2 linked regions of the Arabidopsis thaliana genome follow. The protein of the gene in region 1 interacts with the protein of each later gene in a pairwise test. Each region holds a gene or a part of one and is shown on either strand. Other genes may lie near its edges. The genes, in order: ROPGEF1 and FER.

Evidence for each region.
Region 2: the proteins of ROPGEF1 (region 1) and FER interact in binary tests that used the Arabidopsis thaliana proteins (3 or more experiments, as listed by UniProt).

What each region holds. Positions count from the first base shown.
Region 1 is NC_003075.7:17,984,316-17,989,543, forward strand, and holds ROPGEF1 (rho guanyl-nucleotide exchange factor 1), read left to right. Parts: upstream 1-2,068; 5' UTR 2,069-2,327; coding exon 2,328-2,595; intron 2,596-2,682; coding exon 2,683-2,799; intron 2,800-2,885; coding exon 2,886-3,406; intron 3,407-3,518; coding exon 3,519-3,872; intron 3,873-3,957; coding exon 3,958-4,344; 3' UTR 4,345-4,554; downstream 4,555-5,228. Other genes in the region: sks9 (SKU5 similar 9), read left to right, coding at 1-390, 491-569, 649-858; IYO (RPAP1-like, carboxy-terminal protein), read left to right, coding at 4,800-4,973, 5,162-5,228. UniProt on the Arabidopsis thaliana protein: Guanine-nucleotide exchange factor (GEF) that acts as an activator of Rop (Rho of plants) GTPases by promoting the exchange of GDP for GTP. Acts downstream of PRK2 in the control of polarized pollen tube growth by activating ARAC11/ROP1.
Region 2 is NC_003074.8:19,116,849-19,122,722, forward strand, and holds FER (Malectin/receptor-like protein kinase family protein), read right to left. Parts: upstream 4,102-5,874; 5' UTR 3,932-4,101; intron 3,757-3,931; 5' UTR 3,717-3,756; coding exon 1,029-3,716; 3' UTR 736-1,028; downstream 1-735. Other genes in the region: AT3G51540 (mucin-5AC-like protein), read left to right, coding at 24-362; AT3G51560 (Disease resistance protein (TIR-NBS-LRR class) family), read right to left, coding at 4,960-5,580, 5,667-5,874. UniProt on the Arabidopsis thaliana protein: Receptor-like protein kinase that mediates the female control of male gamete delivery during fertilization, including growth cessation of compatible pollen tubes ensuring a reproductive isolation barriers, by regulating MLO7 subcellular polarization upon pollen tube perception in the female gametophyte synergids.

The sequences.
Region 1 (5,228 bases):
CAAACAAGCCCGGTCCATTAGGACCAATCTAACCGCGTCTGGGCCAAGGCCTAACCCTCAGGGTTCGTACCACTATGGTCGAATCAAGATTTCTAGGACTTTGATATTGGAAAGCTCAGCGGCACTAGTGAAGAGGAAGCAACGCTACGCCATAAACGGAGTGTCGTTTGTACCTGGAGATACTCCGCTAAAGCTTGCGGATTACTTCAAGATCAAAGGCGTTTTCAAAATGGGAAGCATACCTGACAAGCCGAGAAGAGGAAGAGGGATGAGAATGGAGACGTCAGTGATGGGAGCACACCATAGAGACTTCCTTGAAATCATATTTCAAAACCGCGAGAAGATCGTCCAAAGCTACCACCTCGATGGATATAGTTTTTGGGTTGTTGGGTGAGAATAATTAAAGATTAGCTATATCTATCGTCCTCTATATATAGTAGCTAGTAATAATGCATTGCATGCATCTGATGTTTGTGAGTACTGTCCACAGGACGGATAGAGGAACATGGTCAAAAGCAAGCAGACGAGAGTATAATCTTAGGGATGCTATTTCTCGCTCCACCACTCAGGTACAAATAGTTTCTAACTCCATATATCTTACCAAAAATTTTAAAAAATCATCTCAAAACTAGTATTTGGTTGTTGTAGGTATATCCAGAATCTTGGACAGCCGTATATGTGGCACTGGACAATGTGGGGATGTGGAATCTAAGGAGTGAATATTGGGCGAGGCAATACTTGGGTCAACAATTCTACCTTCGAGTTTATTCTCCAACACACTCTCTTAGAGATGAATATCTTTTGCCTAAGAATGCTTTGTTGTGTGGCCGAGCCTCCAATAAACACACCACTCCTTAATGACTCTACTCAGACCAATCGTCAATGGCTGATTTAGGGATATGTATTTTATTATATTGAGTTCTTTATTCTTTATAATTTCAATAGCTAGATATATGTTGCACAATTATTATATATACTTCAAAAATTGTAATGTATACCCAAATTTGATGAAAATTTTACTGTTTTGTAACGGTTATTGCTAAGTTTGAAGTTAATTTTTGTAGGCAAATGCAATGTTTTCATATGAATCAACCAAGTAACTCTACCATATCACCAAGCAAAATAGTATAGTTTGAAGAGAGAGAGTAAATTAAAAAAAAAAAAAAACCATACATAACATATTAGAAACATTAATTTCGAATAAACAGACTTTAACGATGAAATAAAAATTTAAATTATTATCCACCGGTAGATGTAGAATGTTTATTGGTATAGAAAGTTGTTCTATTTGGTCAAAGTTTTTGTTGACCTTGCAATTACAAATTACAAGGCTGTCAATCGAATGAAAAACATGGCAATGGAAAAGATTTGCTAATAATGCCAAGACAAACAAACGTTTATTTGGAAGGTTAAAAGCCTTTTAGAGAAGAAAAAAAAAGAGCAGAGAGTCAACTAATTAAGCCATGCATGTGAATCAACACCAATCCATAGCATATTCTAGTGATCAGTGACATTAATATTGTAGATTACTATATTAACCCGAATTCAAAGGGCATTAAATAGGTACTTTAATGAATTGAATTAAGAAGAGTAATATAATCAACGGCTTAGATTCGTTGCGTGAAAAAACCATAACCGAAAACAGCGGAATCCACGAAATAAGTAAGCCAAACGCAATCTAGACCGTACGATGTGAATACTTTAATGACGCCAGAATACTATGGACAGTGTAGATCAGGCGAATGGGCGTAATACACGTGGCGTAAAATCACGAGGATAGATATGGTGCAACGTAGTTCAGGCCGGTGTGGTACGAGAGAGTCTGATGATCCGACAAGGAATACTTCTAGTCCACACAATGTCAGCCTTTCTTTATTTTCTCGGTCGCTTCGAGATTCTCAATTCTGCTCTGTAGAAAAGATCCTGATGGTTCACTTTTAATATCCAACGGTTGATATAACACAAGCGCATGCTCCTCTTATGAGAACGGCCGTGGGATATAATTTAATCTCGCCGTTAAAAAATGTGACGACCGTGAGTTAACGGTTTATCTGTTACCAACCTCATACCTGTCCCTAACGGCAGAGGATAACGCCGTGAGTATGGATGGATGGGAGAGAAAAGAAGAGAGAGAGTGTGAGTGAGGAAATGAAAGGAGTCTTTTTTATTTGTTATCTCTCATCTCTCTCTCTCTTTCTCTCTGAGCTTTGCTTTTTATCAAACAAGCATCATCATCACATCCACTTCCTTCTTCTTCCTTTCTCTGTCTGTCTCTTAACCCAAATGTGGACTCTTTGAGCCGTTATTAGATCTCTGCCGCTTCAATAATGGGGAGCTTATCTTCTGAGGAAGACGACGAAGTCTCTTCCGAGAGATGCGGAAGTTACAGTCCCAGCGCCGACATTAGCGAGTCCGAGAGTTCCAGCAGCTTCTCCTGCCACCGCTTCGACGGCGAGGGTGCCTCTAGCTCCATCCCTTCTTCCCCTCGAGTTGTCGCTGGTAGAGGATTTTACTTCCCGGCCCCAGTCATGCTTCCGGTGATCGGCGGCAAAGATGTGGTCTGGGATGACAAACAACCAGACAACGATTTATCCGGTATAAAAGTTTCCAAATTTGACCTCTTTTGTAAACATTGATGAACACTAGGATTCAATTTCCCTTTTGTTTCCTATTGGGTTTCAGAAATTGAGATGATGAAGGAGAGATTTGCTAAGCTACTTCTCGGGGAAGACATGTCTGGTGGAGGTAAAGGGGTTTGTACGGCGCTTGCTATCTCCAACGCCATCACCAATCTCTCTGGTACCATCTCAATCTTCTTCCCTTTTTGTTAGTTGGTATATATAGTAGGGGTTTCTAGTTTTTTAATAAGGCTAGTGTCCACACAGCGACTGTGTTTGGCGAACTATGGAGGCTTGAGCCTCTTGCTCCTCAGAAGAAGGCCATGTGGCGCAGAGAACTTGAGTGGCTGCTCTGTGTTAGCGATTCTATCGTTGAGCTCATTCCTTCCATTCAGCAGTTCCCTGGAGGCGGAACTTATGAGATCATGGAGACCCGTCCACGTTCTGATCTCTATGCCAATCTCCCTGCTCTCAAGAAGCTCGATGCTATGTTGATCGATATGCTTGACGCTTTCTCCGATACTGAGTTCTGGTACACTGATCGCGGCATAGTTCTTGGTGATTGTGACAAGGATTCTTACAATTCTCCAGCTTCCGTTAGGCAGGAGGACAAGTGGTGGCTGCCTTGCCCTAAGGTTCCGCCTAACGGTTTGTCAGAAGAGGCCAGGAAGAAACTGCAGCAGTGTCGGGACTTTGCTAACCAGATTCTCAAGGCTGCATTGGCAATTAACAGTGGCGTGCTTGCCGAAATGGAGATTCCCGACCCTTACTTGGAGACTTTGCCCAAGGTATGCGCCTTCTCGAGCTCAAGGATTAGCTTTTTCATTGCTGCTGGAGCATAAATTCTTTTACCGTTATATGTGATTAGCTCATTGAGTTATGATTTTAAACTTAATGCAGAGCGGGAAGGAATGTCTTGGAGAGATCATCTACCAGTACTTAACTGCAAACAAGTTCTCTCCCGAATGCCTCCTGGACTGTCTTGATCTCTCATCGGAACATCAGACTCTTGAAATCGCCAACCGGATTGAGGCGGCTGTGCATGTTTGGAGACAAAAGAATGGGAGGAGGCACAAGAAGCAGGCGAAACTAAAGCTGTCTTCTTGGGGTGGCAAGGTTAAAGGCCTTGTTAATGACAACGAAAGAAATGATTTCCTTGTGCAGAGAGCCGAGACCCTCTTGCAGAGTCTCAGGATCCGTTTCCCGGGACTTCCCCAGACAACGCTGGACATGAACAAGATTCAGTACAACAAGGTACATTATAGTTTGGAGTGTGCTTTGCTGGTTGCATCATGAAACGATGCTTAGATAATTTAAGAGTTTGTGTGTGTTCTTGCAGGATGTAGGGCAATCAATTCTGGAGAGTTACTCTAGGGTGATGGAGAGCATGGCCTTCAACATCACGGCCAGAATAGATGATGTGCTTTATGTTGATGATGCCATGAGAAGATCCATCTCTGTCACAGAATCGCTATCCCTATTCAGCATCAATGGACTCAACCCTCAAAAAGCGTTCTCTGTGCAGAGCTCTCCGCACGGTTCACCATTTGCAACGCCTGCCCTAAGTGTAGCATCAAGAAGCCCGAGGAGAGCACCGCCGCTGTATTCAGTGAAGAGGAATGGGACGAGAGAGAAGGGAATAGTGGGAGAAACAGAGAAAGCATGGTCGTATGCAGGGAATCTGAGTTCAAGAAGAGTAACGGGAGTGACGCCGGAAAGAGATTAAGATTGAAAATAGAAGAATGTAAATCAATGGTTGTAGAGACTGTAGTTGTTTCTTGTTTGTCTGACTACGAAGACGAATGTGGTAATAGCAACAAGAATGTTATCTTATGTGGAGTTTTGAAATGTTGTTAACAAATCAATTCCTTAGCTCATTTACCAAGTTTACAAAGATTATGGTCCAAGTCCTAAAACTGAATGAACATCACATACCCGTCTCTTGAGTGATTTAATCATGTTCTTCATTGCACTAAAGCGACAACTTTTGGTTCAAATATAGACTATGACTATATGGTTTGTTTTGCACAGGATTAAAGTTGATGTTCCAATTTTATAATTAAAAAGTCAGAAAGGGGTTTTCTTGTTATTTTTTACTTGTTCTTATAAGCTATCGGGACGACACGGAGTTTTAAAGAGTTTTCCGTTTTGCTGAGCGGAGGCGAGAGAGGGTTTAGAGTGATGGAGCAAAGTAGCGGGAGAGTCAATCCGGAACAGCCGAACAACGTCTTGGCGAGCCTTGTCGGGAGCATCGTGGAGAAAGGAATATCGGAGAATAAGCCTCCAAGCAAGCCGCTTCCCCCAAGGCCCTCCCTTCTTTCCTTCCCCGTCGCTCGTCATCGTTCTCACGGACCCGTAAGCCAATCCAATCCTCTAGTGCGTGCTTTTTAGGTTTCCATCTTCCTTTTGTTGCCTTCTTCTAGATTTTAAGCACCTTCTACTGTTGTTTAGTACTTGGGACTCCACAATTTTTCACCGTGCCTGACCTTGTAATTCAGCTTTCTGAGACATCTAATTTTTGTTTCTCATGTTTGATTTTGTAGCATTTGGCTCCTGTGGGAAGCAGCATAGCACAACCTAAGGATTACAATGACGATCAGGAAGAAGAAG
Region 2 (5,874 bases), on another chromosome or scaffold:
TAATAGTGTCACTTCAAATGCAGGACTTGGCACGAAATGGTAAAGTTAGTACACATACGTTTTCAAGCCCAATGTTGTATCCACACAGCATCAGATCTTCTTCTTCGGGTCTAAGAAAACCGTGTGGTAGTAGTGAAGGCAGCTGCAGCAGCAGCAACCATGAAGAGGAAGATGGAAGAAGCTTAACGAAAGAAGGGAACAACACAGAGAACAAGAACGATAGTGCTCGTTACGACGCACTCTTGAATGTTAAAGATGTCAAGGATACAAACTGGCTACTTAACATTGATGATGAATCTCCTCAATCTCTCATCTTCGACAATGCTTTTGACTCTCCTCCTGATCTATTCTCTCCTCTCTGAGACTCTGACTCCTTTTGAGTTTTCTTTCCTGTTTGTTGTAGTTAAAAACAAGAGAGCTGCTTGGAAAAATAATCCTGTTTCACTCTTTTTAAATTCTTATGCAATCAAGAGAAAAACATTACACATAGTTCTTCTACTCGTTGTTTTTTTCTTTCAAAGTGTTTGTTTGTATTGATCAGCAGAAATATACAACTTTGACCCTTCTTGTTTAAATCAAAATATTTGCAAGAAAAGACACTATTGGTAGGATTCCGTTAAAATGCGTCTATATAGTAAAACAGAGAAGTGATTGATGTACTTCCGTTTATGTTCATAAGAGTACGACTTTGTAATAAATGGGTACTAGTTTGTTCATAAGAGTACGACGTGTAATAGAGTAAAGATGCAACAATTACCAAAAACGTTATAGATAACAAACCAAATAGTACATTGACGCGATTCATGTTTAATGTTTTTGTAGAAAGAAGAAAAAAAAATACATTATTTTTTACACTCTCCATCGTGGCATCAAATACACAAATCCAAAATTCTAAATAAATAACAGCAAAGAGAATAATAATAAATAGTTAAGAGGAAAAAAAATATAAAAAAGAGAAACGAACCGGTCTCCTTTGGATGGAGCCGGTTTAGAAAGGTAGTAGTGTTGTACCGTGTTATAAGACTTCTCTAACGTCCCTTTGGATTCATGATCTGAGAAAACACAGCACTTGGAGTGAGTCCATCTGAATCTTCGCTGGCCAAACTCCTACCACCGATGCTCATATCTATTCCACTGCTCCTCGAGTCCGTCACATTCCCTTCATACACATCAGAACTCTTGTCGTTCTTTCCTTTACAGTTTCCATCATCGTACTTAATCTCATCCATGTCCATGTCACCGCATACTCCTTTTCCGTTCTCTTCTGCGCTTTCCTGGAGCTGCAACGCAAATTCTAAGTTCCACAGAACATCTCCCATTGATGGTCTCTCAATGCCCTGGTCTAGAACACACTTCATCGCGGTTTCAGCAAACTTTTTGAAGCATTCTGGTGTGATCTTGCCCTTGAGGTAGGGATCAACGATTTGATCTAGCATGCCTTTCTTGTAGCAGTATGGTGCCCACTCAGCTAAGCTCACTTGTTCCTTTGCAAGTGTTGGGTTCAAGGCTGGACGAGCGCATAGAGCTTCGAATAGAACAACGCCAAAGGAGTAGACATCGGATTTCTCAGTCAGTTGCTGCCGTCTGAAATACTCTGGGTCAAGATAACCGAAACTTCCTTTCACAACTGTGCTTACGTGTGTGTGGTCTAGTGTAGGACCAGTCTTCGATAGACCAAAATCAGAGACCTTGGCCACCCATTTCTCATCCAATAGAATGTTTGTTGTCTTCACATCTCTATGGATGATTGTGTGTTTTGCACCAGTGTGTAGATAGTGTAAACCTCGGGCTGCTCCAATGCATATCTCAAGACGTTGCTTCCATGGAAGAGAAGGATTCTGGGTTTTGTAGAGATGCTCCCTCATTGTACCATGAGCCATGTAATCATAGACTAAGATCATTTCGCAGTTCTCTTCACAGTATCCAATCAAGGACACAAGATGACGATGTCTAAGCTTTGAAAGCATTTCAATCTCAGTCTGGAACTCATGTACACCTTGCTCGGACATTGGGTTGCCTCTCTTGATGGCTACCTTTGTAGTTCCGCCATCAATCTCTCCTCTGTAAACCTTGCCGAAACCACCAACACCAAGCACCCGGGACTCATCAAAGTTTTTAGTGGCAGCTTTGATCTCAGCAAACGAGAAGTGACGGCAAAGATTTGACGGAAGGGACGAGGCATAACTTCCTGTTGTGTTTGTCTTCGCCGAGCCAGCAGAATGTGAGTTTCCATACAGAGATAGTGGAAGCCACCCTGATGTTGCATCACTAGCAGGCTGGTAATCACCACGCTTACGTCTGCGGTAAGCACCAAACACACAAAACCCAATGATAAGGGCCAGAACAACTGCACCACTGGCTGCGCCTGCAATAATAGCCGTATTGCTTTTCGATTTCCTAGTAGTCGGGCGTAGGACTTTAGATGGATCAGCAGTCACCTGTGGACCAGGTATAGGATTGGTACCAGCCAGATTACCATCAGAAGTATTCATCTTGAATATCTCCACTCCATTAAGAAGAGAATCATAATACTCCGGCTTGTTAACTGGGTTAGGATGAAGAGCAAGCCACAAATCTTGCTGTCCATTTCCCTCTGGAGGATTCACCACGTAATCCTTGTGAAACGGAACCCCGTTTGAACTAGTCCAAGCAATCACATCAGCTTCAGGCTCAGCAGTTTGATTGTTGAGGTAGATTGTAAACACCCGTTGGTTGATCTTAGTGATATTCGAAGAAACCTCACAGAAATGAAGTCTAACAAGGTAAGTGAAACCAGAGTCAATGCTGAAAATCCAAGTAAGATTGTAGTTGAGATTGATCTGAGCTGTTGGACCCATAGACCTCGCGGTTGAATAAACATCCACAGGAGCAACATAAGTAGGAGTCCCCGTAGGATACTTAATCGTCATGTTGGGATCAGCAGTCTCTGGAATACCAAGTCCTGCACCAAATATATAAGGCTGATCATCATACCACGACCTATACAAACCCGTATCCGCGGAAGGCGAGATATCATTCCCTCCAACATTGAGCCTATACACATTCTCAAGAGCAGTACTGTTATCAATAGTAACAGAGCCAGATGATCCAACCATAGTCAAAGTCCCATCAGTACTACTATACATATCAGGCATTGAAGTAACCTCAATCCCATTAACAAACGCATACGCATTAGACGGAGCTGATTCCGGTGTAAACGTCATGTTCAACGTTCCACCTTCAACGTTGACAACAAACTCCTTGATGATGAAAGCGTAAGTCAACGCCTCCGCCGTCTGAGAAGCACTGAAATTCTTGAGAAGAGTGTAAGGACCAAAGGAGACGGAGAATAACGAGTTGGTAGCGTTGAGACCGTCGTACGAGTTTGGGTAGAAGTAGAGACGCACGAATTTACGACCTGATGCTACAGGGAAAGTGTAAGTGAAAGGAGATCGGAAAACTCTCGCCGTCATGTAAGGAACTTCGGGAACGGAAGGATCTTGTGTTAACGCTGGTGATGTTTTAGAGTCTTCAGAGGAAGATGATAAGAATTTTGATTTGACATCGGAGATCCATATACGGTTATCTGTGTCGGTTAGATTAGAAGCACCACCACCGCAATTCAATAGGATTTTCTCTGTTGGAGAGTAATCAGCAGCTGAGATTAAAGTTGCTGCAGATATGAGAAGAAGAAGAAGAAGAAGAGAGAGACGGAATCGTCCCTCTGTGATCTTCATCGATCAAGAGCACTTCTCCGGGAAGATCTTCTTCTCAGATCTATCAAACGAAAGAAAATCGAAACTATAAACTTCACAGATCTAAAAATGGAAAGTGCTAGAGGTACATGTTCGTTTGGTTACGAAAATTGAGCTTAAGAAACAGATGAAATTGAAGTTTGAATACAGTAGTAAGGGAGAGTGAAGTGAGGAAGATGATGATGATGATTACATACCTGAAGAATCGGGGAAGAAACCCTAAGCGATGAAATCGGAGAGAGTTTTTGGAGAAGACAGAGATATTTTGGGGGAGAGAGAGAGAAAATCAATTAATGAGTGGAGAGGTAAGTATAGTCAAGACGACGACAAAACGGACAAGCATTGTTGCTTCCCTCTACGCGTTAACGTTATTTTAATTTCAATAAGATTAAATTAAGATATAGTTATCGGGTTTAATTAATTGAAGCCGGCTTGAAGGTGGGTGAAGTGACGATAATGACCTTTGAGTATCAACAGCTGGAATTATATATGTCTTGACCATTCGAAGGATAATGTTGATTGGTATGGTTTGGATGACAGTTCATAAAATGTGAGAGAGTAAATCCATTAAACTAAAGAAAAGACAAGAGAATTTTATGAAACGCGTATTTTTGTGTGCGGTGGTGACTGCTCGTGGCTGAGCTGGTACTCTATATTATACTATAAAGGGAAAGAATGGGGCCTGCTTTGATAATAACTCGTTAGTTAGTTAGGATAGTTTACGTAATCATGGGCTTTTTACTCTGATTTCAGTTTATCTCCTATGGCCCAGTTATAAGTGGGCCTTATCTAACGTGCACATGATATATGTTTATGACAATCGGCGTAGCCTCCTTTTGATCGATCATGTCTAAGGTAAGGAGTAACCTTGATCTCCGATGTCAAATCCAAGTAACCTTGAATACAAATAAACCGTGGTTAAGGCCGAACGTGTGCAATTTTTTTGGTCTACACCTTCTTGATTCAAAACAGAGTTTGTGATCCTTGTTTTCTCAGTCTTTCAAAATAAAATAAAACTTTAAACCATTACATCAAACATGCACTAAATATTTACATTAACATATCATTAATTCTCTTTCAGACAACACATTTTTTTTTGTTTATGCCAATTTTAAATAATAAAAATTACATTTCAAACATACATGTTTCTGCTACTTCGCATTTGGGCACGCATGAGACGAGTCACATACATACACTCTTCCCAGTTCCCACTCTTAACTTTTCTTCACTCTAGGCAAACACAACCACCAAACCTACCAACTCGCTTAAATCGAAGCTTACCAATCACACTTGAAAGCTTCGGAGAATGATTCTTACTTAAACTCATATCCTTACTTGCATTTGTTACACTCAGACTCGCCGCACCAGTTGCAGCTGTTATAACACAAACATCACATTCTGTCACCATGCAATTACCGCCTAAGACCTTGTTTCTTCCATTTACTGCTTGGAATTCAAATTCAACGTGATCAGCCATTATATTTGGTTTGTTTCCCTCACCACCACCTCGATGCATTTCGGCATCCTCATAAAACACAAACATGTGATCCCTTTGAACCTCAGGAGCTTCTCTCGGAGCCCAACACCTAAACACTTTCTCTGCTTTACCAGTGACCACCCTTTTCTTTGTCTTCCATCTGCTTACGCACCTAACGCCAAGCCCAGCGTTGTTGTGACTATCATCCGAAAACGATACTACAACGAAGATAGCAAACCCCAAGAGTGTCTTTCGCAGGGAAGGAGTTATCTCTATCGTTGCAAATGAACCTGCCCGCAAATTATAAGAGGTTGCCTGATCTGCTCCTGCAGGCCCGCAAATGCTGAATGCAAGTGCTTTGATGAGTTCCTGGTCCCAACAAGAAAAAGGAAAATTACATATACGCTAAAGTATGTATGAGTGAGAAAGAAGGGACATGAGAACGAGAGAGTTACCTGCTGATGTTCGTTGCCAATGCTTGCTACTTTAGCCAGGCCTTTTACAACTCGTTTTCTAGCCACTTTTGGAGACTTATTGAAGCAATCGCTGAAGGTGTAATGACTAGGAAACTGCTCAAATCCCCAAGAAACTGACTCTAGAGACACACAACCATGCACGTTCAACAGTTTCAGGCTTTGGGGAAGCGCCGGAAGCAATATGAGG